4 linked regions of the Styela clava genome follow. The protein of the gene in region 2 binds, or shares a complex with, the protein of the main gene of each other region. Links are inferred from orthologs where the notes say so. Each region holds a gene or a part of one and is shown on either strand. Other genes may lie near its edges.

What was found.
Region 1: F-box and leucine-rich repeat protein 13-like (region 2) and dynein regulatory complex protein 12-like share a complex: the UniProt entries of both Homo sapiens proteins name them as parts of the nexin-dynein regulatory complex. The link is inferred for Styela clava from reciprocal best matches to the Homo sapiens genes FBXL13 and DRC12.
Region 3: F-box and leucine-rich repeat protein 13-like (region 2) and dynein regulatory complex protein 9-like share a complex: the UniProt entries of both Homo sapiens proteins name them as parts of the nexin-dynein regulatory complex. The link is inferred for Styela clava from reciprocal best matches to the Homo sapiens genes FBXL13 and DRC9.
Region 4: F-box and leucine-rich repeat protein 13-like (region 2) and dynein regulatory complex protein 10-like share a complex: the UniProt entries of both Homo sapiens proteins name them as parts of the nexin-dynein regulatory complex. The link is inferred for Styela clava from reciprocal best matches to the Homo sapiens genes FBXL13 and DRC10.

What each region holds. Positions count from the first base shown.
Region 1 is NC_135258.1:9,395,162-9,401,579, forward strand, and holds dynein regulatory complex protein 12-like, read right to left. Parts: upstream 1,996-6,418; 5' UTR 1,936-1,995; coding exon 1,336-1,935; 3' UTR 1,034-1,335; downstream 1-1,033. Other genes in the region: A-kinase anchor protein 14-like, read right to left, coding at 252-371, 853-972; translation initiation factor eIF2B subunit alpha-like, read left to right, coding at 4,553-5,464. UniProt on the Homo sapiens protein: Component of the nexin-dynein regulatory complex (N-DRC), a key regulator of ciliary/flagellar motility which maintains the alignment and integrity of the distal axoneme and regulates microtubule sliding in motile axonemes.
Region 2 is NC_135258.1:12,567,668-12,576,361, forward strand, and holds the start of F-box and leucine-rich repeat protein 13-like, read right to left. Parts: upstream 3,399-8,694; 5' UTR 3,153-3,398; coding exon 3,078-3,152; intron 2,673-3,077; coding exon 2,569-2,672; intron 2,447-2,568; coding exon 2,353-2,446; intron 2,277-2,352; coding exon 2,134-2,276; intron 1,932-2,133; coding exon 1,852-1,931; intron 1,646-1,851; coding exon 1,459-1,645; intron 1,380-1,458; coding exon 1,218-1,379; intron 851-1,217; coding exon 688-850; intron 607-687; coding exon 449-606; intron 103-448; coding exon 1-102. Other genes in the region: uncharacterized protein LOC120338966, read left to right, coding at 4,685-5,263; 18S rRNA aminocarboxypropyltransferase-like, read left to right, coding at 6,513-7,289; guanosine-3',5'-bis(diphosphate) 3'-pyrophosphohydrolase MESH1-like, read left to right, coding at 7,562-7,667, 8,076-8,211, 8,403-8,563. UniProt on the Homo sapiens protein: Substrate-recognition component of the SCF (SKP1-CUL1-F-box protein)-type E3 ubiquitin ligase complex.
Region 3 is NC_135256.1:11,518,723-11,527,198, forward strand, and holds the start of dynein regulatory complex protein 9-like, read left to right. Parts: upstream 1-4,878; 5' UTR 4,879-5,007; coding exon 5,008-5,130; intron 5,131-5,448; coding exon 5,449-5,568; intron 5,569-6,644; coding exon 6,645-6,751; intron 6,752-7,252; coding exon 7,253-7,381; intron 7,382-7,793; coding exon 7,794-7,917; intron 7,918-8,254; coding exon 8,255-8,374; intron 8,375-8,445; coding exon 8,446-8,476. Other genes in the region: uncharacterized protein LOC120327970, read right to left, coding at 2,195-2,260, 3,326-3,392. UniProt on the Homo sapiens protein: Component of the nexin-dynein regulatory complex (N-DRC), a key regulator of ciliary/flagellar motility which maintains the alignment and integrity of the distal axoneme and regulates microtubule sliding in motile axonemes.
Region 4 is NC_135253.1:8,309,969-8,318,964, reverse strand, and holds the start of dynein regulatory complex protein 10-like, read right to left. Parts: upstream 3,366-8,996; 5' UTR 3,251-3,365; coding exon 3,128-3,250; intron 1,615-3,127; coding exon 1,415-1,614; intron 1,327-1,414; coding exon 1,109-1,326; intron 764-1,108; coding exon 615-763; intron 227-614; coding exon 101-226; intron 1-100. UniProt on the Homo sapiens protein: Component of the nexin-dynein regulatory complex (N-DRC), a key regulator of ciliary/flagellar motility which maintains the alignment and integrity of the distal axoneme and regulates microtubule sliding in motile axonemes.

The sequences.
Region 1 (6,418 bases), about 3.2 Mb from region 2:
ACCAGTCAAAGATTGTACATATAGGTACTCCTAAAGTATGCACACCAAGATGTCTCACAACCTGAATCTAACCTGGTACACAACCTGAGTTCACGTTGTGCGCCATCTTGGTGTGCATACTTCAGGAGGACCTACATAATTGGCTTCAACATTTGAGAGCATAGTTTAGTGAAGTTCTCTATATAATACACATTTGCATACACATTACACATATATAAAATTTAGCACAAAGAGCAAAATTCAAGACATACAGCGATGAACTTCTCTATCTGACCCACTCCATTTTCTGGAGTGAAGTTTTCACAAGACGACCATTCTATGTTTGGAATTCCAAAGTCTTCTTTATCTTCAAATATTATTGGAAGGTTGGCCTGAAAATATATATATATATATACGGTCAGTGATGAGCTAGAAAAATCGTAACAACCGGAACGCACCAAATTCGTGAAAATGTAATATATATTTACAACACGGCGCTACCAGTAATTTTGTCTATCGTAAGATAGAGCCGAAGAACTACAATGAAATTATCTGAAATATGACTTTTTAAAATTGAAAGAATATTCATACTAATTCAATACAAATGTTCACAAGGGTCAAAGGTCGGCAAAACATTCATTATACATTACTGCTGTGCACTAATTATTTGCCAGCTGAAATGTAAAAATAATTATGATGCAACAAAACATCAATTAATAACTAAGTTTCCCGAGGAAACCAGACTTTTCGAACCATAATTTTATTTTAACAACAGGAACGCAATGAACTGTCCAACAACCGGAACGCCGTTGGTATATGAAGCTTCAAGGCCTATCCAAGCCAGATTTGACATATCATATAAAATATACATACCAAATTATGTCTAATTTCAACTGAAACATCATGAACAGCTTTTGCTATTACGTCGTCGACTATTTTGAATGCTTCCTCATCAAATTCAGCAGGATCTTCATCACTCCATCTTACAGGCATTTTTTAGTCACAACAACTATACAGTAGTATCCCTAAAACCTTTAAACCTATCAATATGGTACTATGAAATTAATGATAACAAGGTAAAAATAGTGAGACACAAATGAAAGTCGCACAATTCACAACACAGTGATGAAAATGATTTATGAAAACTACAGGATTACATTAAAATATACCTAGTTCTCCAGTAAGCTATTGAATATAATCATCAACAAATATGAGCAGGTAGTCTAATCCAATGATCAGATTTTAGAATTCATATAAGTTTTATTGTCTATCATTGAAGGCAAGCGGATTTAAAATGTTCTCCCGTATGACCTTGTAAGCAATTCTTTCAACAGAACAAATTATCTGAATTTATTATCAAATATCCAGAGGGTTCAGACCGAACTCTAGAAGAGTAATTTTAGTTTGTTCCTGTATTTTAATTCCTTCTTGATCCCATTTATCCTTAGCTTCATCAATTTTTCCAATAAGTGAATCAAGCGAAGCCGTAAGGACTCCTTCGTATGATATTTCCATTTCATCGATTCTTTTTTCCAATATTCTGATTGTTTCGTTTTTTTCCTGTTCCATTTCTTCTTTTTCTCGTTTCGTTGTTTCAAGCTCTTGTCTTGCATTCGCTACTTGTTGTCTTAGATGTTCTACTTCTGTGTTTAGTTCTCGCATTCTAATGTCCATATCCGTGTGCATCGTTTTATATTGTCGAGTCAACTCTGCACTGACATCTTTTTGTTCCAATTTCTGCTCCTCAAGATTTTCCTCCATTTCATGAAGACGATTCTTCCAATCTGATGCTTGGGCTTGTGATCTCCGAGCAATTTCATTTCGATGAGCGAGATGTTCTTTCAGAATTTCAATTTCTCTAACAGTCTTTTTAAATTTGTCTTCTTCTTTTGCTACATCCTTCTTTTTGCCCTTCTTTCCTTTCTTTCCCTTGCCCTTTTTCTTTTTTGGTGGCATTTTATTTATTTACTATAATAGAATTTGATAGTGCTTGAATAAATAAGAAGTAAAATAAAGCATAATGTATATCAGGGGTCGGGAACCCATGGCTCGCGAGCCATATATGGCTCTTTTGATGGCGGCATAAATATGGCTCCCAGAAAAATCTAATATTGTAAGGCTAAGCTTACAATTGTTAACGAGTTTTCAAACCTATTTATAGCCAAATTTGCCAAGACGTTTGAAAACGTGCGCCCAGCGCATGTCTATGTTATTTGAGAGAATTACCAGACAAGCATTGTGACAAAACTAGGGGATTCTGGAATCTATTTTGTGACGCCACAAAGTGTTATAGTTTCGGAGCTATAGAGAAAAGCTTTTCGTCCGTTTGTACGTACTAATTACAGTATTTGTCATATTTAAATCAAACTAGTACAGAGATGCCTAAACGAAAGAAGGGTGATGGTGATGTGTATCGTAGATTTCAACTTGGCTGCATGTGAGCAGCCGTTGAAGCATCAGAAGTCACATTAAATGTATATTGACATTGTATTTGTTGACTTTTGAGTAAAATTTCAGGCCTGAAATGCTGTATGGCTCGCACGGAAATGCAATTGAAAATATGTACCTTTTATGGCTCTCTTGACCAAAAAGGTTCTCGACCCCTGATGTATATGATATATGGTAAAATCATGACAAAAAATCAGGCTGTGAGATTAGTTATTGCTAAAAATATTTGATGGTCTAATCACACTTTTGTGTACCTATAAAGCGTTAACAACTTATCTATCTATCTTAACTATCTAACAATATGAGATTAATTGTAACCAAAGTATTTCACATTACAAAAATATTATTCATTTGCAATATTTCAGTCATTTTCAATCCAAATATGGTTTCATGATGAGTCAACATAGGCTTTCCATTTTTTTTTGTATTGGCAGCAGTCAGTTCTTTTTGTCGGCTTTCCTCTCCTCCGGGATAAATATGTAAATCCTCCTCCTCCTCCTAATATACCTTAATACAGCTGTTCATTTCTCTCTGTCACGCATTAATACCGTACACATATAAAATTCCATTCCAGTTGTTATTATTATTTCTTATACATATAGAAACAAGTCATAGCTTAAAATAGTTACTAGTTCGCTTACTACATACCGGTAGCCTTGTACGAGCGGCAGAACACAAAATAAAACTCTCAGCCGAACGAAGCGTGTCGCGTTGTCATGGAGTTCTGATACACTTGATATTTTCAAGAATAATAATCCGGCCCTTGACCCCTTTGACAGTTTTCGTGACCTGGCTTCAATGACATTTATTGTCATTGCTGGCACCAACGACTAACATACGCCTGGCACTTTCCAAACGAGTTTACTTGTTTCATAACTATTTTTCATCACTACTACTAAACTGGAACGCTCCAGAAGACAAAACGACCAATGGTATTTTGATTTATAAGGTACCGGTACCAAAATTTCGGAAACACATCTAAAACATACAAACAGATAGCGACTCCAATATTTACAAGTTACAACCATGTCTGAAAATCTGTCTTGAGTACCGGTACCAGTATGTAAAGGGACACAACCATTGCGTCATGTTCCCAATCATGCTGTGCCGAATGCACTACAGGAGTGGTGACTCCTCTACGGCCCATGGGCCGGGGCCACATGGGCCGTGGCCCATAGCTTGATGGGCCGCGGCCCCATCAGGAAAAATTCAATTATCTTAACAAAATTTTCAATTTTTACCAAATTGTCAATATTCTAACCAAAAAAACATACTCCTGTAGTATGTGTACCAGGTTAGGGTTAGGACAAAAAAAATTCAGATTTTTTACATTATAGTTCTATTATGAGTTCGGGGACTGTCTGTGTTAGCCAAGTGAATAGTTTCTTTACACAACTTGATGGGCCCCGGCCCATGGGCCGCAGAGGAGTCACCACTCCCACTCCGAATGCATACCGGTATCCGATGGAAATGACCTGCGACAAAATTTGATTTTGGTAACTTGAAATTCTATAGAGGTAGTCTCATTAAGCTTGCTTAATTAGTAGGTACCGCTAGTAGCCTAGTTCTGTTGTAGTCAGCAATCAGCATATTCAGATATTACTGTATTACCGGTACCACAGTCAGGCAGTTGGATTATAAGAAGGATTTACAGATTTCTGGATTTATTAGACCCTATAATTTGTATTTGGCTTTTATCCAGTACCGGTACCGCACCATGTTCTTATATCTAATCATAATATTATTTTATAACTGAATAAAAGCTGTAAATGTCATCTGTATAAACATTTCTCAAAATATTTCGCAATGATTTTTCAGATATCCACAATCAAACAAAACTGGACCCTGTCACCAAACAGAATGCTCACTTGTTAAGTGTTAATAATATTCCATATCTGAAACAATTGAATCGTAATTCTGTAATTATTTCTTCCCAGTGATTTTCACTTACAGACTTAGCAGTGGCATACAAGGCCTTTTGGCGTAAAATACATTAGTGATTTGTACTCCTGGACTGAATAATAATAATTTCCTCTTTTTTCAACAAATATTATTTGAACCATATCTCTTTTTATCTTTGCAGGTATTGTTTTGTATATAGCAAGGGTATTCACAGAAAGAGATCATGAATGATGAAGAGATAAGTGAATATTTTTTGTCGGAATTACGAAACAGTACTCAATCATCTCCCGCAGTTGCTGCAATCAAAACTCTAATAGAATATCTGAGAAAGGATCATGCTGAAACATTATCAGGATTACGAGATAATCTAAAAAGTGCAATAGAAGTGCTTGTGAGGACTGACTGCACAGGAATTACACCTATCTTGTCTGGATCGGAACTGTTTCTTCGCTTTATCACCCTATCTTCTTTAGAACACTCAGACTTCGATAAAGTGAAGGATATTCTAATAAGCCGTGGTGAAATGTTCCTGCAAAAAATATCATCCAGCAGACAAAAAATTGCCAGACTTGGGTTGCCATTTTTGAATGATGGTATCAAAGTTCTTGTTCATTCATATTCAAGAGTAGTTTTGAACATGTTAATCAAAGCTATGGAAGCTCAAAAGCGTTTCACTGTTTTTGTCACTGAATCACGACCAGACATGAGTGGTAATATAATGGCGGAAAAATTAAGAGAACATGGCATCCCAGTGACTGTAATTCTTGACTCAGCTGCTGGTTATGTTATGGAAAAAATAGACCTTGTATTGATTGGTGCTGAAGGTGTGGTAGAAAACGGTGGGATTATGAACAAGATAGGAAGTTACCAAATTGCTGTTTGTGCAAAGGCACATAATAAACCCTTGTATGTTGCTGCCGAGAGCATTAAATTCGTTCGCCTTTATCCATTAAATCAGCAAGATGTACCGAATGAAATAAAATACAAAGCATCAACAATCAAGTCCAAGAATCTTGACCAAGAACATCCTAATGTAGACTACACTCCTCCATCTTATATCACTTTACTAATAACTGATTTGGGTGTCCTGACACCTTCTGCTGTAAGTGATGAACTTATCAAACTATACTTATAAAGTTGTAATGGTTGGAGGTTGAATATTCGCATCTGGGAGATACCACCAATACAGAATGGTGGCCAGTATTCCGAGAGTCATAAAAATTTTTGTCAAGATCTTGCAAGTCTGCATGGAATGCTATATGGCCATGTTCAGGTCATTTTAATAACACATCAAAGGTGCAATGTGGCATATCAATATTGGTGATAATTATTCGGATTCTAATTTTATTTTTAATTGGCGCGGTTTTGATTGAAGTTTTTGTTGTATGATCTGTTATATCACAGCAAAATTATTACTTTATAAAATGAATTTCAGAGGACTATAAGAGTACTTTCGAATGTCTTGCTTTGGTTTAGGAGAATTTGCTCAGAGTTGAGTCATTCATCTGAGCAAAATTGAAGGAGACCACTGAAATTCCAGCTTTCAGCTATTCCAGTCGCGAATGAATTAATAATCCAGAGAAAAGAATTAATAATGGGAAGAAAAATATTTGTTCCAGAATGCGGGACCCCCAAGTAAAGTTAATGATTATTGCCACATCGTCAGAATACAGATGTTTTTTTTATTCAGAAATGGAAAATTCTTTAGCTCTGCGTGCCTATGGGACATATCCGTTGATATGTCGGGTAGAATTATATTTGGTGAAGATGTGAGTTCTATCAAGTCATATCGACTTTTTTTCTACACATCAATTCACGTACTGGGTTGCAGTGTGGAAAAATTTGGTTTACCCATAATGTAATTTATAATCAGATGCCATGCCCATACCTCAAAATTCATTGCTCTTGCCGGCTGTATTTTGAACTATACAATGTTACTGAACACAAATAAAATCTCAGTATCTGTATTTACAGAGAGTAAAAAATTCATCTCCACAAACAAATATGAACAAGTGTCTCGCATTTAAAAAACTCTATCATTTGCTTTTGTTTTATATTAAATCTGCAATGAATCGAATCTATATTTGTG
Region 2 (8,694 bases):
GATATATGCTTGAATCCCTGAGGAGTTATTTGTGTGCAGCCAGACAGGTCAAGATAAGTCAGTTTCTTACATCCTTTCCCAGTAGCCAGATAGTACAAGCCTCTATAGCAAAGAAATGTTCCACTTCAAATCATTGTCCAACAATTTATGTTAAAAAAAAAACTTAACTGTTTAAAAATTGAAATTTTTCTCTCTCTTCGGATAATTATATCTTATATATGTTTCAGCCATGATTATGGACTTTTCTTCAAATTAATTTCTAGCATACCTCTAGTTAATCCAATATTAACTGTTATACAATATATACTTATTGTCCTTTTTATGAGTTGCTTTTGCTACAAATATAGCAAGTTACTTGATGGAATCAATTTTTTTTTATATTTCAACATGGTGTCATAAATAACACCCTGCATGAGGTAAAAGGCTCATGATATATAGACAGCAATACCTATCTGTAAACTTGTTACAATATGCCAGACTCAAGTATTGCATGTTCAGACAACATCTTGCCAATGTACGCAATGTGCCATCGGTTATTTCAGTGTACGAGAGATTGAGATACAGAAGCACTGGACATCCTTCAGCAATTGCTCTTATAATTTCATCCTGTAGAAAAAATCATTATTCACACAAATGTAGGTTAAAATTAAGGGCTCACACACTACTAAATAATATACAATGCATTACATTGACTCCTTTGCATTCTGAAATGTTTATATCCTGAAGATTTCTGCATTCAGCAATTGCTTTGAAGGCAGGCCAATGCACAGCAAAACATTGTCGAAGATTAAGATGTACAAGGTATGGACGACTCTTCTGTAAGCACTGAATAATGGCTCTATCATTCACTCTGAAATCAAATATAAATAATGTTAAAAATGTTATCAATATACCTAGATTATACTTCCATATTGAAAAATGTCCCTCACCATATTTAAAAAAAAAGATGTTTTAGGTTAGTACATTTTTGAAGGCAGCCAGCGTTAATTTCAAATTCAAAAATAGAGACCAATGAATGTCTCGCAACTGTGTCTTAAGACACCAACAATGTCCTGTAAAAGTATCCGCTTTTTATTTATTTATCAGGCAGACGAAGTTACACATTTTGAAACAAATATACATACCTGCATACTAAAACCTTAAAGTAATCACCTGAAGACAGCACCAATAGTCACCTAACTTGATGCTTGAGTGTAAATAAAAAGTATCTCACTTACTTATTTTTAATTCTACTGAAGTTAAGATGACTCCATAATGAAGGTGCTCCAGTGATAACTTTCCATGCTCTACAAACTTTTGCACATCTACTAAGTTCAATCAAGTTCAGGTTACTGAATATTTGTATAGCACATCTTCGTGGAAGCAAAGACACTTCATCTCTAGTAGAAAAATTAATCTTTAAAATGTTGGCGTTGGCTTGAGTGTTTTTCTTTTTAAGTTAACACATTCAAACATTACCTAAATGTATCACTAGGCAGATCCTTGTCTCCAGTTTCGACACCGAATTCTTCATCCAATTCTCCACGTTCTAGACGTTCAAAATATTCTCTAGTCTTACGTGCGTCTACAGCAACCGATCTCCAAGCTCGAAAAACAAGCCGACAAACTGATTCATTCCAAACTTTTGAAATCATATCAAAACCACCTAAAAAATTTTTTAAAATAATATAGAACTACAAAATAGTAAAGCTCCAATATATGGTTACCGCGAGAAAAAAGCCAGTATCTAGATAAAATCCTCAAAGTAAAAGTCATTGCTTTTAATTATGAATCCTATGGATAGATTTGCCGAAATTTTTCCCAGTAATTGGGCTATTTTATTTCAGTTGGATAAAAATAGATATATTTTACTATTTTGTCTCTTTTTCACGTAACATTTCCAAGTATGCCATTTAGAAAATGATATTCTCATCATTCTTGTCCTGTGGTATCTGAAATAAAGTTCTAAAATCTTGATATTGAAAAAAAAACAGTTTAAAGTAAACCAAATACTAATATAAAAAATAATATCTGTTGTTTATTTTTCATGTATAAATGGCAAGTTTAGGCTTCAAATTACACATGACTGTCCTTAAAATAATTTAAATACAGCATTTGGCTCGATAATTCAAGTATGTCCAAAGTTGTACATACTGTCTGGCTTCTTTGACTTTATTTCGAATCATATTTCGATGATTTTTCTTGTCCAAGTAGTATTTAAGCCATCCTTTGAAACATATCTTTTGTAATCTGCCATAATAATGGCTATAGGCTGCTTTCAGCATATCTGGTGATGGCTAAAATTATGAATTGCACTGTTAGTTGACGTTTCACTTTGAATAAAAGAAGAAGAAATATTTTAAAAAAATTTACGGTTAACTTGTCATAAAACTTGAAAATCTCATCCAAGTAACTTTCTGCCATTTGTTTTATCTTTGGCTGACATTCAAATGGAACGAACATATCCCTGAAATGAAGAGCAAAAGTTAGTGGTCAAAAACGCAATGTTAAATGAAGATTTAACATCATATGCAAACTTATTTTGATGCAGGTCCTACCATTACATACAAATTATAATCCTTCACCTACCATGTCATTGTATCCAGACCTTGATCGCGTATTTTTTTAATGCTTTCAACAACCCATTTGTAAGGATCCTCTGGACATGCTATCATCAAACCAGTAAGGATACACTGCGAAAAATGAAAGGTTTGTAATAAAATTACAATCATTAAATATCTAAACTAGTATTACAGCATTGAAGGATAGGATAGGATTTACATATTCATCCAGGGGGTGAAAAAAACCGATAAGACGACTCAATCATATGGCGAACCACGACCTACGGAGATGCCGTGGTGAGCGTATTCCTAACGCTTAGCACGATGAGCCACACCGCCGAGCACAATAGGAATGCTATTGACTGGGTGATTAGCGCAGATTCTGAGTGTTTGGAACTAGGGTACTTTTCATTATTTATTTACTTTATATTAGCAAAACTGGGCTGTATTTTTAGCAGTATTTTTATCTTTGTTGCAACCTGAGAAAAAATATGAAAAAAAATCCTAAATCTGAAAATTGTGTAGTATTGTTATCACCTCATATACTTCGGGAAGTTGGTGTACTTTAAGATATTCTTTTAGTGCGGGATCGATCCCTTGAAGTGACGCCATTGCCTTTATTTCGCACCAAGAGAAACTTAGTAGATATAGACTAGCAAAATCATTTACAGAAAAAGAAATCAGAACGTCTCGCGGGAATTTTGCTGCTTCACCGTCTCCTTAGAAACATATCAGGTCAGCGTCGCGGGTCACTGATTCTTTCGCGTGACTAAATATGGTCCCAAATATTTTGTTTTTCTCCAAACAATCCCGCTGTATATTTATATTTAATCCTCTAAAACTTAACTCACTCTCTGCTATGACACGTTGCTGTAATGATTGCTAAAAGAATAAAATAACCATTCATAGTCGTTTGCGGCGCAGTGTATTCATTGCTTATTTATAGCCACAGAGAATGATGGCCCTGTATATTATAGCGATTACCCCGTGCAAGATTTTCATTTTACATGTGGTTAGTACAAAGAGTTAGTACAAACTATTTTGGACATAATCATAGTTCGTCTGTTTGATTTTTACTCGTTGAAGATGAAATTGAAATAAAATCTAACCATCAACTGTCGTCCGATGGCAGTTTGGATAGGATTTTCATATTTATGGGAATAGTTGAACAATTCAGAGTTCCAGATGCGTGGAAAATCGTAATAAATGTTCATTTTTATATCCCGTTTCTGTACATGTTTAACTGTAATTTATGACATATTTTACACTTTTATTTGTGCATCATTCACTAATTTCTTTATCTTATTTATATTTTATGTACCGGTAATCCATTCGCATTTACCCTGGTACTATATTATGCCATGATGTGCTTATATATAGCATAAACACAAGGGTCGGGAGCCTAGATGAACCCAACCGGTCCTGCACACCGACTCGCACAAAACAATAATCAATCACTGTTATTACTGCTGAAATATTTTCTTTAATATATTATGTTTATATTAGTGTTGATTTTGTTTTTGCGGCAATGATTCTCTCTCTTTATTTCTATTTTATTCGAAAAGTACATTTTTACTTCTATCCAAGTGCATTTTCACTCTTTAAACAACATAACAGGACAGAAATTTGTTTTATTTTTGTTAAGTAGGTTTCGGCACAAGTGCACAAACCAATCATTCCTGCATAAACATTGGCAAATTTGACGCGAGACAAGGAACGCATGACTCAGCCTAAAAGGTTAAGGATAAAAATGTGATCGACTCCGATCACCGCTGCACTAAGAGGAAGTACCCGTCTTGACCGTTTTCTTCCCAGCAGATCAGCTGGTAACTTTTGTGTCAAGCGAGCTGTGCTAAATGGGGCAATTACGCCATGAATAACTCGTTCATAAGGCTTCACTTTAATCTGATTTCGAAGCACCAATTTAATGGCACATGATACAGTAATAGCACGAAGTTATTCAAACGTTAGTATTAATCATAAATCTGAAAGAATTTTATTGCAACAGTAAATTACAATAATATTTTGAGTATGACATATTTTTTTCTTTTTGTTCAAGTAGTTCCTAAATGAGCATAGCGTTGTCAGGTTCTGTTCAATTAAATTTTGATATTTGGTACCGGTAGTGGTTGAAACATTTTACTATGTCTGGTCGTAAAATTCAAAGTGATGCAACTGCAGTGCCAAAAATGTATACTGGGGGAAAATCAACTAAACAATATGTTGAGGACACAGTAAGAGAAGCTATGGCTGAAGTTAATAGGGCAACAGGACATCTTGGAACTGTTAATCCTGGAAAAGTTTCATATAACACTTCAGGAGGTGGAAGTGCCATCAACCAATTCAATATTGTGGGAGGTACTATTGGTCAAGCGGCAATTGGTAACAGAGGTGACACTGTTTTCAACGAAGAGAAAAAAGTTTTCCAAAAAGGTGCCTCAAACACTAAATACAACATTAGTGGAGGAAATTTCAATCAAGCAAACATTGGTGGAACTTCTCACTACAATAACAAAGAGTGCGAAATTGGATCTGGTGGTGGTGGTAAAGGAGTTTCATTGTCAGCTGAAGATTTGACCCTAAGCATTTTGGACAAAGGAGTTACAGCTGAGCAGTTTGTCTTGCTCCTTGAAAGGAAATATTCCTTGGCGAATATTGCTTTTGCGATGCCCAGTGATCCAGAACTCAAAAATCGTATGGTTGATGCTCTTCTTGTGAAGTGATTACCAAATCAGACTTTCTCTTGTAAATAGTTATCATAGTTTTTTTTTCAAACATAAATCAAGCAATCGAATGTGCTTTATCATCAACAATGTGTTTTTATTTTAAATGAAACTTCATGTTCATTTTAATTTAAATGTTTCAAATATAATTTTACTTTGTTTATGCATGTTTAGTGATACTGAACATCAATCTTTACCACATAAATAGGGTCATACTTCATGAGAGGATGATTTTGGATGTCATGAGAAAGATTATCTCTATAAATATGTATAGTTTGCCAGCTGTCTTAACTCTATCAGTAATGATTGATTCTCTTTGGTCAGGGATATGCAAGGCCCGGTACACTTGGGTGTGCGGCAATTACGACTATGGTTTTCATGGATATAAATTTCCATTGAAAATAATGTCATAATGACCCCGATTGCCACATTGTGCTTCTTATTATTATATAAATGTTAGCCTAGCTGTTGAACTAGCTTTTGTAAATAAACTGTTTTTTATTCATAGCTTTTCATATTAAGTTTTTGAGCCTCTGGCCCACTCAGAAAAGTAATTGCCCACCCCTGTCTTTAATGTTATCTAAAGAATGGCATCCAGTAAATGTCTAAGCTTGATTGTATGTAATGCACAGCTGAAGTCAATTGAGTACTATATTTTATTGTATCATGTACAGAAAATTATTATGCAATGAATTTCTTGCATTAAATAAAGAACGAGTTGTAACAGAATGGAGAATTTGTTTTATATGAACTTTCATGAGTTTTTATTATTGCTCTCATCTTTTATAATTGATCAATAATCTTGTATTTTTATGCATAGAATGATGTATTCAAAAGTATATGTTCCTGTCCTAAAAAAAAATCTCATCTCATCTATAATTGCTAAATTAAAATAATAAACTATTTCTAATATACAATATTTTCTACATTTATAATAGAGTGGAAAATTTGCATGGAATTGTTACAGCACATAACTTTATAAAGATATTTTTAACTGCTGCGCCTGTGGGCAATTTTACTATTGATTATGATATGTTGTAAAAAAGAATTATTATGGATTATTTTAAAATTCTAGAAATAACCATATCAAACTAAGTAACTAACTAATACTGAATGTGTTTGAATATTCAATTTGTTATGGAATGAACATTTACTGTGGAATATGTAACTTGGTTGTCTATATACAATTTTTATTCATCTTTTTGTATTATAATTAGATTTAGAATACATAACACTATATACAATAGCAATGTCTCACAAAAAACAGCATCAACGGAGGAAAAACTTCAAAAACAAAAATAAATATGAAACGCCGCAACTTGCAATGGATGAAGAGGATTTACATGAACCAAGAGGCACGACGAGCAATTTTACAATAGCATGCCCCCTTGCAATGTGGGACCTGGGACACTGTGACCCGAAAAAATGTACAGGAAGAAAGCTTGCTCGTAAAGGAGCAGTTAGATTACTGAAATTACAACAAAGATTCGCTGGAGTAATATTAAGCCCGATGGCTACTGAATATATCAGTGCCGGAGATAAAGACAAAGTATTAGCTCATGGCATAGCTGTAATTGATTGTTCATGGGCAAGGTTGCAAGACACTCCATTTTCAAAAATGAAAGGAGGTCACTTGAGACTTTTACCATACTTGGTTGCAACGAATCCAATAAATTATGGCAAGCCCTGTAGGTTGTCATGTGTGGAGGCATATGCAGCTACACTTTATATTGTTGGGCTTGAAGATAGTGCTAAATCTGTTTTGAAACCTTTTAAATGGGGTCCCAACTTTTTTACATTGAATGAGGAACTTTTGGAGTTATATCAGAGTTGTGAAAGTTCAAAAAGTATCGAGACAGCTGAACAAAATTGGCTACAAAATGAAAGAGATGAACTTAATGCTAAAAGTGAAGAACGGGATCCTTTTGATATAGATTTAAGTGTTGAACACTGTAATCCCAACCATACATCCCTGCCACCAGATGAAGATTCTGATTCTTCCTGTAATTCATCTGAAGAAGTTTGATGTCTGAATAGATTCTATAGTAGCAGATTGTTAGGATAGCAAATTTAGAATAAAAGTTCAAAATAATCATACTTTTTTTGATATAAAATGTTGTTTTGTCAATTTCAATACAATAAATCGTGCCAAGTTAGCGTCTTTGTTATTGCCTCTATGTGTAGTAGTTACGCTATACTCACACAATGAATCATACATTAAACTATTGCCTCTTAGTCATATAGCTATCTGCTAGTTTACCTGCAGACTGACACTGAAACCAGGAAGTGTTATTTGAAATGGATTTAGCTGTGCTTGTAAAAACAGCAAACTTTGCCGCTAAGAAACACAAAGACCAACGTAGGAAAGATGTTTCAAAAACACCTTATATCAATCATCCAATAGGTATGTATGTATATACTGAGATGTCATATCCATTGCGACTTTTTTGCGGAAGCATCAACATAATTGCCTGCTTTGCGAAAGTCCACATAGTGTCATATTTGTAAGGCTTTAATCAGATACTACAACAGTAAATATGCAGTTGTACATGATGTTATATATGTGTGTAGTTCTCTTCTTTCCCCTAGTCAAAAAGCAGGAATTTCTCAAAGTGAGGCAAAACTTTGAAGGCTGGGTAAAGCTTTATAGAACTTTCTTTCTGAATGCATATACCTAAGATAATAATGGCTCAAACTGCTGCATTAAACTCTTTTTCAATCAGAAATCACCAGCTTGTGAATATTCATTTGCTATTCCCAACGAACACTATAGATTTATCAAACTTTAAAATTAAGAATTTAATACAAACAGGGGTTGCAAACATTCTTTCTGAAGAGGGATGCATTACAGAACTTGAAGTTCTACAAGGAGCATTGCTCCATGATACTGTGGAGGATACAGATACAACATTAGATGAAATAGAAGAAATATTCGGCAAAACAGTAAGGTAAGACATGTTTAGGACCAATCAGCAAAAACATAAATTACTCTTAAAACTACAGTGATAGGTTGATACAATTTTACATCCCGCTTGCTAATACAAACGGTACAACAGTAATAAATGTACTTGTGGACTTGAAAGAAGATGGCTGATCTTTTACACATTATTAGCAATTTGTAAACTTTTCTGCTTGACAGAGACATTGTAGCAGAGGTGACTGACGACAAATCCTTGGCAAAACAAGAAAGAAAACGCCTTCAGGTTGTGAATGCACCACATAAATCGAGACAAGCTAAACTTGTAAAATTGGCAGACAAACTCTACAATCTCAGGGATTTATGTCGAGAAACACCAGAAGGTAATATTGGTATTTGTTTTACAGTGATTCTATTTATGGCACCAGTTTGGGATAATAATTATAATTTCAAAATAAATGATCAAAAAGGGTTGCATATTATAAGCTTAACACTAATAATACTCCATTCTAAC
Region 3 (8,476 bases), on a different chromosome or scaffold from region 2:
TATACTATCAATAGAGAACATATTATTCTTTTGAGAATATCACCCCACATCCATTAATAAGTTTTGCTTAATATACATTTATGAAGAAGTAGGAAGTTCAGATGGCTTCAGGTAAAAGGTGATATATATCACTCGCATTGAGTGATCACCAATGTGTTAACTCACGTTGCTAGAGCCCGGTAAACGTCTGAAATCTTTACGCACAAACTACGAACTTTGATCTACACCAGGTGGCCAACACATCGATTGCGATTGACCGGTCGCGAGTAGTCGATCGCGTCTGATGTTGAGTAAATTCAATAACATAGCCCAGAAAATTGCGTTGAACCAGTTTTATACTGCGACTGTTGTGTGTTTCAAAACAGGAAGAATATAGTACTGTACAAGCGCAAAATACGAAGTACACATGCAGTAATTGAGTATGGACAAGAGCAATAGAGTATATTATTACGTAACAAATGCAAGTTTCCCTACTGCCATGTTTTAGAAATGAACATGCAGAATATCGCGTGTTTTGACAGGCAAACGATCCTACAACATTTTCTGCACTGTGTGAAAGTTATTGTCTCACTCCAAGAGTAGTGTGATAGATTTACAACGGTAGCAGTGGCACCAGCCTATGGTAGCTCAGTAGTAGACGTTTCATAGAAATAAGGACAAAAATATTTTGTAAGACAAATCTCTTCAAAATAAAAACAAATCTTGGAAATAAAGACGTTATGGCCTGCCTATAATCATTTCGAGTCGTAACAAGTGGGAATCGGGATAAAACTAACAGCAGTTTTCAATCAATTCATTGAACCGATTGACTTTCAGTCAGATTATCCATTTTTATACGGCGGTCATTCACATCCTTCGCTCCGAAAAAGGCAATTTACAAGCAACCGATGATACGAGGCGCTATAGCCTTGAATAGACTAAAATGTGTTAACATTGCAGATTACCTTTGCCATGTTCAATTTATTTATTCTCATGTGCAACAACATCTATAATTTGTTTATCTCACAAATTGAAGTTTGATATAATGGGCATCCTCATCAGAAATTTGTCCCGGGCAGCAGAAAAGTTTGACACGCCTCTGCCCCACCTTACTCAGGGTGTAATAAATTGGGTCGACAATGCCGAACCGGAAAGATTTATCAAATAATAGTAATTCCTCAAATATCAGTGGACGCATGTGAAAGGCTTTTTTTAGAGTGAAAGACCCGAACAAGCTCAGTATAATATATATTAGGTCGGACGCTTTAACAGCTTTGTCATCGCGACGCCTAAAACAGTGAGTTGATGTCAATCACCCGGAAATACCCGTGACTAAGACAGCACAACAGTGAGTTGTGTGGTGTTGTCTTTTTTTTTGTTGATAAAATGGATTCTAAAAGTTGGAATAAAGTTTAAATAGTGTTTATGGTAATTACTCAATAATGAATCAGGCAATGCTTCATTATTGAGTAATAGACAGTTACCAAAATTGGATTTAGTTACTGGACCGGGGGCTCATACCTCCATGGGAAAAACTAAAAATCATTTAACCCAATGGCGGGAAATCACTACGCTTCTAGGTAAAAAGGCGCACAGAAAACAATTTAAATGAAGAAAAACTATCAAATGCAGTGCTGGCCAAAAATTGAAATGGGTGGAACGTAAAATGATGCCATACTATATTTGCATAATGAAATGCAGTGCTGGGCATCTGTTATGCGTAAAAACGGCACACAGAAAACATCTCACATAAAAAAAAACATGTAGCTACATGCCAAATTATGTACAAACACAATTAACTTTAGTGTGAATTTTGCTGCTGTTTCGTTTCCAATATAAGATGCAAACGAGGCATCAAATAAGTTTCTACAAACGTAGCTCTGCATTGGCGTACAGTCATTTCTTTGCTTCGTTTTAATTAAAACTAGGGATGAAAAAGTTTTTACAATTATATAATCAAATTAACATATTGAATAGTAGTATAAAAAATGCAAATTTTTGTGGCAATTTCATTGAGAATGCACCCGCAGAGCCGAGCTTATTGGCATCGGTGGAATTTTTGTATGCGTGTGTGAGGTTATCTGCGTATTCAGTATTCGTACATTTTTGTTTATGACCTTATTACCGATCAGTCAGTCGATCGCGAGCTTTTTTGAAGATTTTAGTCGATCGCGGGCGAAAAAAGGTTGGCCAGCCACCCTTGGTCTAAACTAACCTTCAATGTCTCTGCCATCCAATATTCGGTCGAGGGGGCCTTGAAACCAATCCAGGAAATGCGAGTCTAAAAATACAAATCGAAATTTTCAATGTTCTTCCAAAGTCCACTTGGACATAATAAGTTGGCGTTTAAGATGGGTTGTTACGATAAAATACGCCTACCATTCCTAATCTACCTAATATTTAATCAAATGTGATTTCTTTGAGCAGGATTCTTCAAATAGGCTGTTTGCGTAACAACACCACTCTTGCTGTTGATGCAGTCGGGGAAATTAAAGGAAACTTCTTGTAGCTGCGAAAAAAATTCGCCTTAAATACGAATACATTTTGGAATTATACGACCACTGAAATCTCACTCAGTTTTTCACTCAGTCATATATTTGAATCTATCAACTCTGGGCAGGGAAGGAAGAATTATAAAATGCGCGGACCTCCAGAAGTATGTGCACCAAGATGGCGCACATCCTGAACATAGTATGTGTACCAGGTTAGGGTTCAAGTTGTGCGCCATCTTGGTGCACATACTTCTGGAGCGCCAAATGCGCAATAGGTACTGCGGTATATATTCGTAGTACGGACAAATTATTTTGAGTTCGTGGACTTTTGTTCAAATATTTTGAAGTAAATTTGGTCTGACGAATGTTATAAGTTGTTTGTAAACCAGGTACGTAATTGTATCCTATACAGTATACACCAACCTGGTAGGTTACCTCCTCTGTCGAAAAAATCTTCAAAAGACAGAGCTAAAAACAATGTAAAAGGCTATTTCAGTGCTACCATATATATATCTTTAAACAAGTTTCACAGGCAAAACTAATTTCAAAGCACCCATGTAACTTGAACGAATCTTTTGCGTTTGAATAACATTGCTTTCAACAAGAGAAGTACTTTTTCGGTAAAAGAATAGGGACACGATATTATTTTTGTAAAACGGTCTTTACGGCTAATCATGATTGTTCTTGACTGTAATCATCATTAATATGGTTTTAGTGGATGGTGATACATTTAAAAATAACACTTTCTGAACGAATAACAATTTTTAAATTGGGAATTGTGGTCACGAGCAAAGCGTGCAAAATGAGCTGGCTATGAATAAAAAATGAATATATAATGAATAAAAAGTGCTCACCCCATTCACTGTCTACTTCACAAATAAATGATAGCAATGCTACGTAGAATATAGCAGCATAAAACATTGTTTTCCAGAAGCAGCAAATTATTTGAGAGCACAAATTTAAAATCTCACTGCGCCAATGCTATCACAAATTTGTGTTAACCTGCACAATTAACCGTAAATATTCCACAGAGAACGCGTGGATAAAAGGCAAATGGGGCTATGAGCGACTTTTTCTCCAATACCTTTTCGACAATATATTGTAAAATATATATGAGAAATTGGTGTGGTCGTTTAACAATGCCACTGTATACGAGAAAATTGCGACAAAAATTATGGATAATTTTTAATTTCATGTGCGTGTGAGCTGAAGAACTAATAAATATCAAGATCTTAAAAAATCTTGTTCATGTCGGTAAGTAAAGTTTTCATTGGTTATGAAATCCATCAGACGAACTTTAAGATGTCCTTCACATGTCAATAACTTTACCAGCATTAAACTTTAATCCTGCATACAAACAACTATTTTCATCTATATTGAGCCATCATTTATTTACAATATTTCCAGCCAACAGGCAACAATCTTACTCGCTATTTTTCTTTATGTTGTGTCCGGTTGTATTATATTTAATTCACATAACCTTTTCTATAAAAAGATAAATGGACAAAAATGAAAGTGACGGGAAACAATATTTTACGCGTAGTTTGGCACATATAAAAATACGATATAGTTCTCGAAGACATGGCCAATTTGTTTCAAATTTCGATAAAGAGTTCAACCAGGCTGTATAAAAAATACTCTGATGACGGAACAGATTTCGATTTCAGAGGATCAACTAATATACCGTAAGCATGTGGATCATGTTCTTATCATAATATCTGTGTGTTACGCGTCGAATTATAAGTATTTTGCGGCGGTTACGGTTGTCACAAAACTATCACGACGATCATAACATAATTTTGCGCAATTCAGTTTGGAGTCTAAGAGGCTGTTTTTTTTTGTATAAGTTTATTTCGACCCGAAATTTTTGCTTTACCTTATATATTGCACACATTCCCATGCTGTTTTTTTCATTTTACATTTTTTCTAAATTAATTAGTAAGTATTTAAGTTTGATTCGCAAAAAATACTGACTACGTGAATTTGAAGGGACAAGCTGTTTTCGATCGGTTTGGATTGGTTTAAATTATCTCGACTCCGCGCACTTCCATTTGCCTTTATCTGTAACCATGACGAAATTACACGCTTGGTCGAGGAGATTGATGTTGTTTTCCTTTTAATCATTATTTAGATATAAGTTACGTACTTAAATAGATTTAGCCAGGCGATTATACATGCCATAGGTGTTCGATATTCACCACGGTGCCATTTTATTCATATTCCAGTACTAAAATCAGGTTTTGTGGTCAAATCTCTCATGCATGTTATCTGGTACGTATATTGTGAAAATATGGCTATTGCTGTATTGACAGGATTGCCCTGTGTGTTATGATTATATGATTTGGTCATACCAACTCTTGAGTAGTCTATATTTTAAAGTATGTATTTACTTTTATTGCACAGTTCAAAAAAAAAATGAAATCTAACAAAATTTGATAATGTAATAATTTACATTTCAAAACCATTAATATACGGTGAAGTAACACAGAACAACAAATTGACAATCTGGAAGTTGTTACAAGGAACTACAGAACTAATGGCGTTCACTCACGCAACCGCTGCTAATCATGCATCAGTCATGGAAGACTGTATTGATCAACTTTCTATTCTTGGAAGAATTCTACCTGTTTCTTATCAGGGCCAAAGTGACGCAAAGGAAGTGAGTTACTGAGTTTATTGTGTTTTGTAGTGCTGTACAAATATACCATTGCTGGTACCGTTACTCCATGTTTTTTTGACTTTTTGCAGGCACATTTTCATCAAAAACATGCTTTCTTTTTTGTTCCTTCTGGGAGATAGATATTGTACGAACAATTCAAAATTGTGGCCTATATATCTTGCTTGTGAAACAAATTGTCCTTACTTTTTTAGGAAATGTGGCATATATAGTTCAGGTTTTGCTCATTTCAAAATAATTGTGAATATCCATACTGTTAACTGCTCATAAGAAGTCATTTACTGAATGTATTTTTTGCAGATTGTTAGTAAAGATGTGAAAAATGTTCTCAACAGTCAACGTGAAATTGAATCAAAGTTTGACACAATTTTATCGTCACGAAATGATGGCGGTGGAAACTCATTTGTTGGATCAAATCAAGTATGTTAGAACAGTGTTTTTCAACTTTTTTCGAGCCAAGGCACACTTTTTTCATTGAGAAAATCCCACCAGCTGAAAATGTGAAATAAGGACCTAATATTCACAATATAAGTGTAATATTGTTCATATAAGCTTTTTTAACATTGAAGAAAGATGTTGGATTGGACATCTTGAATAGTAATCAAATAAAAACAATGACAAAAAGTCAAATTGCCACCTGCGCTGACACCTGATATAGAACAGTACTACATGATTACTCTGTCGGGCGCTACACCGCATAGACACACAATTTGGAGAATTTCCCACGGTACCCCTGACAGTATTGTACGGCACACCGGTGTGCCGCGGCACCCCGGTTGAAAAACACTGTGTTAGAATATATATGAGCAACTATCTTTTAACCTGAAATGGTACGAATAGAAAAATAGAACTTAGATCTCATCACACGTATCAAGTATGTTAGAATATATATGAGCAACTATCTTTTAACCTGAAATGGTACAAATAGAAAAATGAAACTGATATTTGATCACGCCTATCTCATGTACGGTTCAATGGGTATAATAAAAATAAAAATTTCACTATACATAAATTGCCTCATGCATGTACGTGACAATTTTATGACTTTGTTTAAAGCAGAGGTTCTCAAACTTTTTTAAGCCACACCCTCTTTTTAGAATTTGTCAAGTCTGACGCCCCACCTCAAAAATAACTAGCTAACAATAAGCTACAAATGACAGATAGTAAGGTAAAAGTATGAAAATACGTGGATGGAATGTAAATAACGAAAACACTGAGGATAATTAAGATACAAGAACTCTAGCTCTCCACAATATCTAAACAATGAAGAAATGTAAATATCCAAAAGAAGGCGAGCAAGATCAAATATAACAAATGTTTTTATTTTTAATCAGTTTCACGCCACTCAAAAAATTGTCTACGTCTCCCTTGTGAGGTGCGCCCCACTGTTTGAGAACCACTGGTTTAGCGTGCAAGGGATCATTTTGAATTTGGTATTTTATGAAGCGTTCGATTTATTATTTTTTTATTTAATCCCCCTTTGAATATTTTTGCAGATAAAAAACTTAACAGGTTCACTGACATCCAGCAATCGATTTGTGAGTCAGTCACTAAAACAGAGCCCACTGACGAGTGACAATCTTGTGAAAATACAAAAGGACAGGTGAAACTAATAATATTTATGCTTAACTTGTAGCCATGGTCCTAATTACTCACTATATAACCCATGGATGTATAAAATTGGATGTGCAAAATTGTATCTACTTGTCTTTGGAGATTTGCTTAATACAAATATAGCAAATAATAGTATTTATATAGAAAAGTCGATAAGATGGCGAACTGTTTCAGAATAAGTTAGCCAGGTAATTGTTTTCAAAAGCATGGCTTTAGTAGTGGAGAAAGCCGTAACCGACCAGCAGTCACGTGAATCAACCATTCTATGGTGGCCAGGAGTCCAGCAATTTTCCTAGACATAATTGTCCCTCGTGGGATTCGAACCTGCGAGCTAATGAAAGGTAATCAGAGGTGCAATGACATGCATATTCCTAACACTTAGCACGTAGAGCTATGTGAAGTTATTAGGTTTCGTTTCCAAAATTTAAATGACTATCTGTGTATTTTCATTTTTATTGAACATTTTGATTTTAGTTTGTTTTTCTCTCAGGCAATTTTGTGAAGATGTTTTGACATTGACACATCAAAGTTTACTGCAATCTTTTGATTACCAACCACTTCTGGATGCTGTAATTGCTGAAAAAGAGAGAAAAGCTGCTCTTCAACAAAAAATTATAAAGTATGTTATTGATTAAGGGCGAGACTAATAATCGTCATCAATATTAATGTAACAATTTCAATTTATGGCCAATTTCTAATATGATATGTATATATGGAATATATTCACTTATTTCAAAGTTTATGCAGCTCATCAAATAATTTCATTCTTCACCATCAAAAGGATACTTTAATATGTGCTTTTCAGCTATTGTAATCATATTGCTGTTCAAATCTATCACCTTGAAGTAAATGTCAGTATAAATATATTTATTTCTAATGTAAAATGTTTGACCAAAAAATATTCACATTTTTTTAAAGAATACTAATTTTCTTGATTTTTTGACTTATTCAATACTAACATGCTCTGAAATGCATGATTGGAATATTCTTAACTTTCAATTCAAACTTTTTTTGTGATTTATTTTTTTAAGAGAGGAACAAGGCAGAAGAAAAATCAAACAATTACAGCGTCAGCTTGGGGATATCAAGAAAGAAAAGGAATTAGAAATTCAGCAACGAAATGAAATGATTGCTCATTTAAAAGATCAACTACAAGTATTGTATATTAAGATTATATAAGGACCATACTAAATATGTGCATAAGTTCGACAGTGTATTTAAAGCATTGCAATTTATTAATGAGTGTCCAAATCATTGCTCTGAACAAAGCACTGATCAAGAAAGTTGTTATACTCTGGGCGATGAACTTTGATGGCAGCAACCAGAGCTTTGACTTGATAGCTTTATGAAATGATAAATCATAACATTGTTTATGTTATTACACTGCCAATGAATATATGATTCAAAGTTTAAATAATTCCTAATCGATTTTCTTCATTTATCCTTCATGCGAAGCTTAGGTGTTCATTACACTTGTTTTATTTTCTTGTAGGAAATGAAAGCAAAAAGTAATATGGAAGGAAAGTATGTAAAGAAGAATGCTGAGAACCATGTTCACCAAAATCAGCAAAAATGCATTCTTACTGAACAGCAACTGAAAGAAAAGCTTGAGGTTTTTCTAACTAATTCAGAATTTGAAACTAGAATTTGTCCAAAAATTTATAAATTTAATTTCTATCGCAGTTACTCAAGGCACAGACAGATGAAGAAATCA
Region 4 (8,996 bases), on a different chromosome or scaffold from region 2:
CTCCTTGCGTAATCAAATTCTGATGCGCGAATGAGCTAATTTTCTGGTTAAAAATTAAAACAGGATGTGAAATCTGTCTTGTCTTATCAAAGCGAAGTACCTGTTGTTTATCAGATTCTGTTTTTGTCCTTCTGATATGTTCTTCAGAGAATTGTTCAATTTGAAACAAATCATTTTTCAATCTTCGAATTGTTTCTGTTTTTTTACTCGTCTCTTGTTCTTTATCCTGAATGAATTTACATTAACAGGCTTATTTTATCAAAAATTATTTTCTACTGAATTAAAATATTAACTCTACTTCAAGCACTGGCAGTTCAGGTAGCAGAAAAAATAATGCAAAAGTTAAACCATACCAACACAAAATTAGGTGTATAATCTGCATAAAATGTGCTCGTATACACAAACTTGAAGCAGGCTTCTTGAAAAAAAAAACGAACCTAAACCATAAACATGGGAAATTAATTACAATTAAACCTCGAAAGTCACAATTAAATTTATCACCTGTTTTACATTTCCTTAAAAATGCGATAATACCTGAATACTTCTATGAAAACAATTTAGCTTGAAGAAAAAAAAAATAATTATATTATAAAAATAAAATGCATAATCCTTACTTCGATTGCAGAATCAAGTTGTGCCTGTAGTTTATTTATAACAGTAGAATTTTGCTTTTCCCTTTTCGAAACTTGATCCAAATAACTTGATCTATCCGATTCCTCAGCTGGTGTTGTCAGTAACAATTCAAGCATGATCGCTCTTAATTCTTGAGAAAAATATTGTTTTTATACATTTTTGGTCTTCAGTCATGTTTTATAAAAAGCAGAAAATTGCTGCGTTCAGACAATTTCATTTTAAGATAAAAGCACTGCATTTAGTTTCAAAATGAATAAAATCACAATTGAATTCACATAGCCACTGGCCGATTACGGTTTCTGCTTCCTCCACCATTAAGTCCATGCATCTGAGATAAATAACTGGCTAACTAATCCCATACCCCACTGGGAACCAGGTTTATATGCCTCGTGATTAAGTCGTCGGCTTTCCTCTCCTTCAGTATAACTTAAATTGTTTTCAGTGCCGAATGTAGGAGTTATTTTGGATGAATTACCTTTCAGTGCCTCAATAATTTTTGCATCCTGATGTGTAATAATTTGTTCAGTACTTTCAAGAATTAAGTCACGTCTAAGTGCAGTCGCAACAGCAGGATTTAAAGAAAATTCTCGCATAACATTCTTGCATGATTCAGACACTTCTAATCTTAACTTCTCAAGTTTTTCAGAATCTTTGGAATATTTGGTGACATCTTCGAGTAGGGCGCATTTTTCTCTGAAAATATTTTGATAAAATATCAAAATTTCTTGTTATTTAGGAATATATTCTATCAAATATATACACCATGTATTATTAATCTTACTTGTGTGTCTGAATTGCTGCAACAAGCTCATTCCCTAAGGAAACACTGAATCTTGCGAGTTGCAAAGTGATAGTCGGAAGAATTGCAAGAAGTTCATGTCGTCTAATTGTTTCATCAAGGCAAGCAATAATTCGTTGGGTTTCCACAGTTCCCAACTTTTTTCTTGCTGGATCAAGAATACGTAAGGCAGCAGCTACACCCTGAAAATATAATCTGGCATTATTTAGATATATTGATATTTGACATGCAGATAGATATATGCTAATTAATAAATCCCTTGAATAACTTAGTATGTGCATTCAGAAATTCTCTCATTCTAATTTCGCTATCACATAAAAAATCCATGAATAGAAATGAGCTAATATTTCATATTTTGAGTAAACTAGGTCAGTACATCCCAATCAGTTCATAGGGTGGCTTAGCCACTTTGCGACCATCAACTTCATCGATGTTATTATTGCTGAAAAAATTAAGGAACAGCAACAATATTTCCCACGCGTTATCGTCCACTTATCCCCCATAGCTCTGCAAAATTACACTAAAATTGGGCCACAAACAACGAAGTTACGACCGAAAACCTGACCAAAAAAAAAATCATTTTTTCATGTCGCCAACTACCTATTGTCCCCGTAGTAAAGCTTGAAAATCCATAGAAATACAAGAAATAAAAAGATGAAACTTGTCAGTTGGGTAGAGTTGTATTACTTTTAACCATCTTTTAAAGTTTCACGTTTCCACATTTAAGGAAGGGAGAATGGGGAATGCATTTCCAATAGGTCAATAATATCTTTGTCGACCAATTTGCGACCACCATGTTTTTGTGTATTTGATTGCTGTAAAGCGGTGCTTTGTTTGTAATTTGACGAGTTGTGTTCAAAAAAACTGTGTTCTTAAAATCTATGACGGTCAGAAATGCAATGGGAAGCCTAATTTTTTCTCACATGGCCGTGTATGTTGTAGTTTCGACGCAGCAGAAACGATTTTCAAGGCACAAAATCCGGGTCTAGTATGGTTTAGTACCACAAGTACTTCCAGTGGGCGTAGCATAACGAATTTTGCATATGTTATTTCTAACCCCTACCTGACTATGCTATCAAAAAATTCCGTCACTACGACGCCACCTTCACGTCATAGGATTGCAAAAGTATAATTACGATCGCTGAAATGGCACCTGCGCCGCCGATAACGAGTCGCTAACGCCGACGATCTCTCTCCGATCGTGATCGTTGTGACGAGAAAACGAGAGAAATAGCTTGCTCAATTTCGGGTGACCGTCTGCGCGTTTTGGACGATCATCCGCATACTTTGGTGGGTCTTATTACGCCACTGTGACGTCGAAATGACGTAATTTTTCGGTGACGTAGTCAGGTGGGGGTTAGGATTGACATATGCAAAAATTGTTGAGCCAGGCCAACTAAAAGTGCATGTGGTACTAAACTATACCAGACCCCAAAATCTGTGATCTCACACTGGTCGTTCGGTCGCAAATATGTCTTTTGAGTGTCGTACTTTGGTGGTTTGTATAGCTTTAACCCCTGGTCGTAGAAAGTTAATTCGAGGTTAAGCGTGTAGAATGAATGCCAATGCACCTCTGGTGAAAAAATTAACAGGATAGATATATTGGTTTTTGTTTTATAGCGGTTTGAATGAAACCGTCCGCAGACTGGCTACACCACCCTACGAAACTACACTAGACACAAATTGTTGTTCAACCTGTTGGCTGTTGGCGCTTCCACTCCTGGTCCTGTTTGACTTCTTGCTCTTCAAGTTGAGCGGCGGAAGCAAAACACCCGCACCAACATCTCTTGTGTGTTGAACTGTAAGAACTTCCGTCATATTCTAGGGTAATTCAGAAACTGTAAGTTAAATTAAACAGATAATCGCCAGAAATTTCTAAAAAGTCGTATAGCTGTTTTATTTTGTCACGCATGGTTCAGCTCACCATGGTAACGAGCCTGTTATTGAGAGCGCCATCTGCTGGTACAAACAAATACCTAAACCACAAAGAGGCTTGGGAAGTTGAATAAAAATATCTACGAAATATTTAATATGCCCGAGAAATCAAAAACTTTGCAACTTTAATATCACCGCTTATCTTGAACATCAAAAAATATTATTAATCGGTCATTCTAATTTTAGGTAACAATTATTACACAGTGGCTTTAAAATAAACTATATATAACTAAGACAAAGAGACGTATGAAGATTGTTAATTGAAATGACTACCAGCGAAGAAGACTCGTTAATTTAAAAAGTATCCGTTTCGAGTGCCGTATTTGGTTGTTAAAGATTAAGTGTTTCGTGAATAAAGACGCTCACCATTTTTTCAAACAATTTGTTACTTGGTTAATTTTTTTTTAAATATTGAATAAAATATCAGTTTCTAGAATGACCTCATTGATGTCTGACACATGACGTTATGCAGACGTTTTCAAACAGAGGGCTCTTTCATTTTACGTCAACCATTCATTTTACCACAAAAATAGATTAATAAAGATTCCAATCTGATGCAGCCTGAAAAATAGGTCAGGCGAACGTTTTTATCGAGTATGCACTCATAATACCCATGTTTGAAATATAGTTTGATACCGACAATCTGTAAAATTGTTAGCTTATGTTGCACCACGAATGCATTATTTTTCTTCATTTACGTAACCTCGTTTCCCAAACTTCAAGTAAGTGTTTTGGTATTTGAAAGTTAATTATTTGCCTCACATGGCGTGTTTTCTTAAACATGTTCAACTATTTATACTGTTGCTCTTATTCCGTCGATTCCAATCTATTCACTCAAAAAAAGACACAACCAGTGGCGGCGCGTCAATAGGGCCAACCGGGGCAATGCCCCGGTTGTTTTTTCGGTATAATAAAAAATATTCGAAAAATACCTCAATATCGGTTGCACAGACTGTCTACGCTAGCCATATTCTCCCGACATGGTTCATTTTTCGCTCGCAAAGCTTTCGACGCCGATTTTGCCCCGGTTGCTCATTGTATATCGTATTCTCTCTTTTATCTTCCACTCGCCGCGTTTGTCTCGTTTGTTTTCTGTTTCTTTTACTAAATCATCGGGGCCGATCGGGGCTAGCCCCGAAATTATGACGACACAATGCCGACGTTTCTTACAACAACGTGTTGACATATTCACGCATTCCTTCTCGTTCGTTGGTTGCTTGAAGAGTTTATAGTTTCCTCGCCTTCGTTTTTGTCGCTTGTTTCGCTATTTGAATCAGTTAGAGACCTTTAGTCTATTTGCTTTCGATTTTCCACATTCCTTTTGAGCTCCTCACTTCTTTCCGGCTTCGCATTTCTTAGCCTTAGACCTCATAATGAATAAGGTTGATGCACTACTTCGCACTCCGTTTTCGCAGTCTTGGGCCTTATCAACCAAAAAATTGTTCACTGGAACAATCCCATGACGGAGGAAAGCGTCGGCGTACATTCTGCGCAGAAACTTGGTGTTTTGCACTTTTTTGTTTTTATTGCCTACTTTTTGCTACCGCCCGTGACTCACGTTGGTGTAAATTTGGTTTTAGAGATCTTAAACATCTTTCCGAGCGTGCCAGGGATCATCAATCTTCTATGGAGCATCTGGACAATGCAGTAAAATACTGAACATTCGAAAATGTTAATATTGCAGCACAGTTGGATGAAGGACGCGCAGTTTCTATTCGTCGGCACAACCAAAACGTCGAGAAAAACCGCCATGTTCTCGGTCGATTGATAGATGTTTTGAAGTTCATTGGTTGTCACGAGCTGTCCCTCCGTGGGCAGGATGAACGGGCTGGCTCTTCTAATAGAGGGGTATTTTTGGATATGGTGGAATACACCGCATCCCTAGATACAGTATTGAGAGATCATCTTGATGCCGCAACTGTTTCGAAAGGGACATCTAAGGATATCCAAAATGATTTGCTCGACTCAATGTATAAAATTTATTTACAACATTTGGCTCTGGAAATTGAGAATTGCCAGTTCCTTTCGATTCAGTCTGACGAGACAACTGACATCACGTGCGTTTCCCAACTGGCTGTGATTTTTCGGTTTGTGAAAGATGGTAAACCTACCGAGAGATTTCACAGCTTTGTACCAATCGTTGATCGCACGGCTTGCGGGATATCGGCTGTACTGAAAAAAGTGTTACAGCCTTACAACGCGAAGTCGAAATTGATAGCTCAAACTTATGACGGCGCGGCAGTCATGAGTGGGTCGAAACATGGTGTTCAAGTTAATATAAAAGAAGATTTTCCTAATGCGCATTTTTCACATTGTTATGCACACCAATTTAACCTCGTTATTAAAAATATGTGTCTTGATACCCCTCTCGTCCGTATATTTTTTTGCAAATGTTTCGGGGTTTTCTTCATTTTCTTCCGTTTCGCCGAAGCGCTCTGACCTCCTTCGCCAGATATGTAGCCGCCGTCTCCCAGCTTGTGCACCAACACGTTGGAACTTCCAATCACGCGTGGTGCAGGGCGTGTCCGAAATTAGGTCTGAGCTCATTGAGTGTTGCAATGGCATTCAGAGCTCTCCGGTTTGGGACGAACGCTCTGTGAGAGAGGCGGCAGGTCTAAAGCGTCTGCTAGAAGATGGTGAGTTTTCATTTTTTCTCTCTTTTTTCTCCACAATATTCTATCACGTGGATGTATTATACGGCGCATTGCAGTCAAGGCTAATGGATGGAGCGTCTGTGCAGTCGTGTATTTCAGACTTCTGCGATGCTGTATCTCGTATCCGGGAAACAATAAAATACGACGACACATGGAGTGCTTCTTTACGCCGCGGGCAAACAACGCAGCGTTTGATTTTGTCTGCAAAGGAATGCTGTGACATTCTGGTGAATCAAATAGGCGATCGTCTGCGCACTGAACACCTTGCCGCGTTCTCTTTGATGAACCACAAAATTTTTTCAAAATTTGCACGTCAATTTCCCATCCATTTGTTGGCTACTGTCTCCAAATTTTACCCCATGATAAACGTGGGTGAATTGGAAAATGAATTGCGATGTATATACACCAATCAAACTTTTTAGAACATCACATCAACTTGCGCGCTCTATGGGTTCCTCATAGATAACACTCTAGTAACTACCTTTGCGGCGTCTGCAAAATTTCTGGACATCATTTTGACGACGCCTATTTCTTCCGCCGACGCAGAGCGAACATTCAGCACGCTGAAGCGTATTAAAACGTATCTCAGAAACACAATGAAGCAAGATAGATTAAATTCCTTGGCTGTTTTATCCATTCACAGAGACGTTATTTCTGGGATGCATGACTTTAATCAGCGCGTTATTGAGCATTTTGCTTCCAAGAAACCGCGGCGTGTTGCATATATCAAGCAGTAGAAGTCTAGCAGCATATATATCTATGAGTGAGCGACGCATGTCCTTATCTTTGCATTACCTTTCCTTTCTTCATAGTAACGTTTTAAACCTTCTTTTAGGTTTTGTCTGCTTCCCCGAAGTTTCTGTTAATATGTCATTGTATTTATCTGGGTAAATATTGCCTTTCCTTTTGAAAGAGGTTTCAAAATAAATTATGTCTATATTTATTAATCCCTTGACTTGGACCGGTTTTAAAGACACTTACTTATCGTTAAAAATTGTCGCTTTTGCCGATTGGTTGTTACCGATGGAATGGTTTTTATACTCATAAAATGATGATAGAACTTACAGCGCTCATCCTGTCCCCGTAGATGGGGGTGACTTGGTCCCGCAGTAGCTTGCCCCGGTTGTCAAAATGACCACGCGCCGCCACTCACACAACCATAGCTTATTTAAACTTCAATTAAACTACTTTGCACAACATATGAGCAGAAATTTTATCCGATTCTAATGGACTACGAGCGTTTTGCGAATGATGCCCAACGCTCACATGTTTTTGCAACTACTGTATAAGCTACACGCTGTACCTCTATTGCATTGGTTTTCAACCTTTTTCGTATCGCGGAACACTTTTTCTAATCTAAAGTTGTGGCGGAACACCAAACGAGATTTTTGAAAATAAACTATATTATGCAATTAACTGACATCGATCATTTCGGCATGAAAATAAAATAACGAAATTAATAATATAGCTTGTCAACTTTAGCTGGAAAAGACGTGACACATTCCGATTCAGAGCTACAAGAGCTAAAGTACGGTACAAATAAATGTTTTTGCGGGTTTGCTTATAAATACTATGATTAGCTAGAAACAGAAATGGTATATTAATGTGATATTTGGGTCTGTTTCGATGAGTTTCAAATATTTCATTCTGGCTGTAAATGGGGAGAGCTCTTTCTCAACGGCTTTCAATTTCTCGCGTTTTTTTTATACGCAACAGGAGTCCAGAGGGTCGGAAGTCGATTTGGAAATTAATAGAAACATTGAAAATTGGCAACAAAGCAATTTTTACTGTTTAATTTCGTCATAATCGCTACTTTTTTTGCCCCCTGAACGTTTTCATATTACCGCCTTTTTTCTTGTGCGCAATTATTAATTCTTGCCGATCGGCGGAGATCGAAGTTTCATATTTTGATATAACTATATGCGTTCATATCGACAACAGATGGTATTGACATTGTGGAGCGATTTTACATTCCAATTTAATTTTATTCTGATTTTTATCGTTTGCCCCGACTTTGATCTAACTTATCGCCGTTTGCAAATTAAACGTCCCAGTTTTAGGCGAATAATATTATCATTATCGAGCACACATTTATTAAAACGATAATTGAGTTTCTTATGCTCCACACTGGTGTCTGTGTTATTTCCGAAATAAATCAATTAGATACTGTTATTAGATAAATCTGTGATTGCGTGAATCCTGAATGTTGATTTAAAAGCTGAAATAAAGGCATTTCTACGTGGTCATTAGGCGAGATGAAAAAAAATTGTAAACAATTTTGTGCCCAATTGCTTTTGTGCCTAGTAGAAGGGGAGACTGATTAGAAAATCACCTCAAGTTTTCACGTTTTCTTTTCTAACAAAACAATACCGCGACCATTATCATAGCTATAATCGTTACCTACAAATTCACAATTTTATTTGCAAAATCAACACTTCACTAGACGATTTTGATGATTCCACACCCTAATTCTTACTACAAGAAAAGCTTAAAAATGCAACGAATGTAATCAACTCCGATGATGACTCCCTTCGTGGTCGAGTATAATGTTCACATTTTTGAAACATTATTTGGTCAAGAATGGAATGGATCACTAAAAATACACGCCGAGATAAAGTCCATTAAAAGGGAATATGGCCTGTCATTTCTTATCTGGTTACAAGTTTTTTATACCGACTTTCCAAAACTCTGACTCGCCATTTTCAAATCGACGCTATTTATATTATTCGAATGACGTCATAATACTTCGAAAAAGCAATTTTTCGAGGAACACCTGGAGGTCTCTTGCGGAACACCAGTGTTCCGCGGAACACCGGTTGAAAATCACTGCACTATTGAATAATAGTATGACAATATAATACCCGCAAGGGCCGGCCAACCTTGCATAATTAATTAATAAACCAACACCTATGCTGATGGTATAAATAAAGTATTTGTGACATCACGTTTATAGGCTTCGTCTTCATATAACGCAT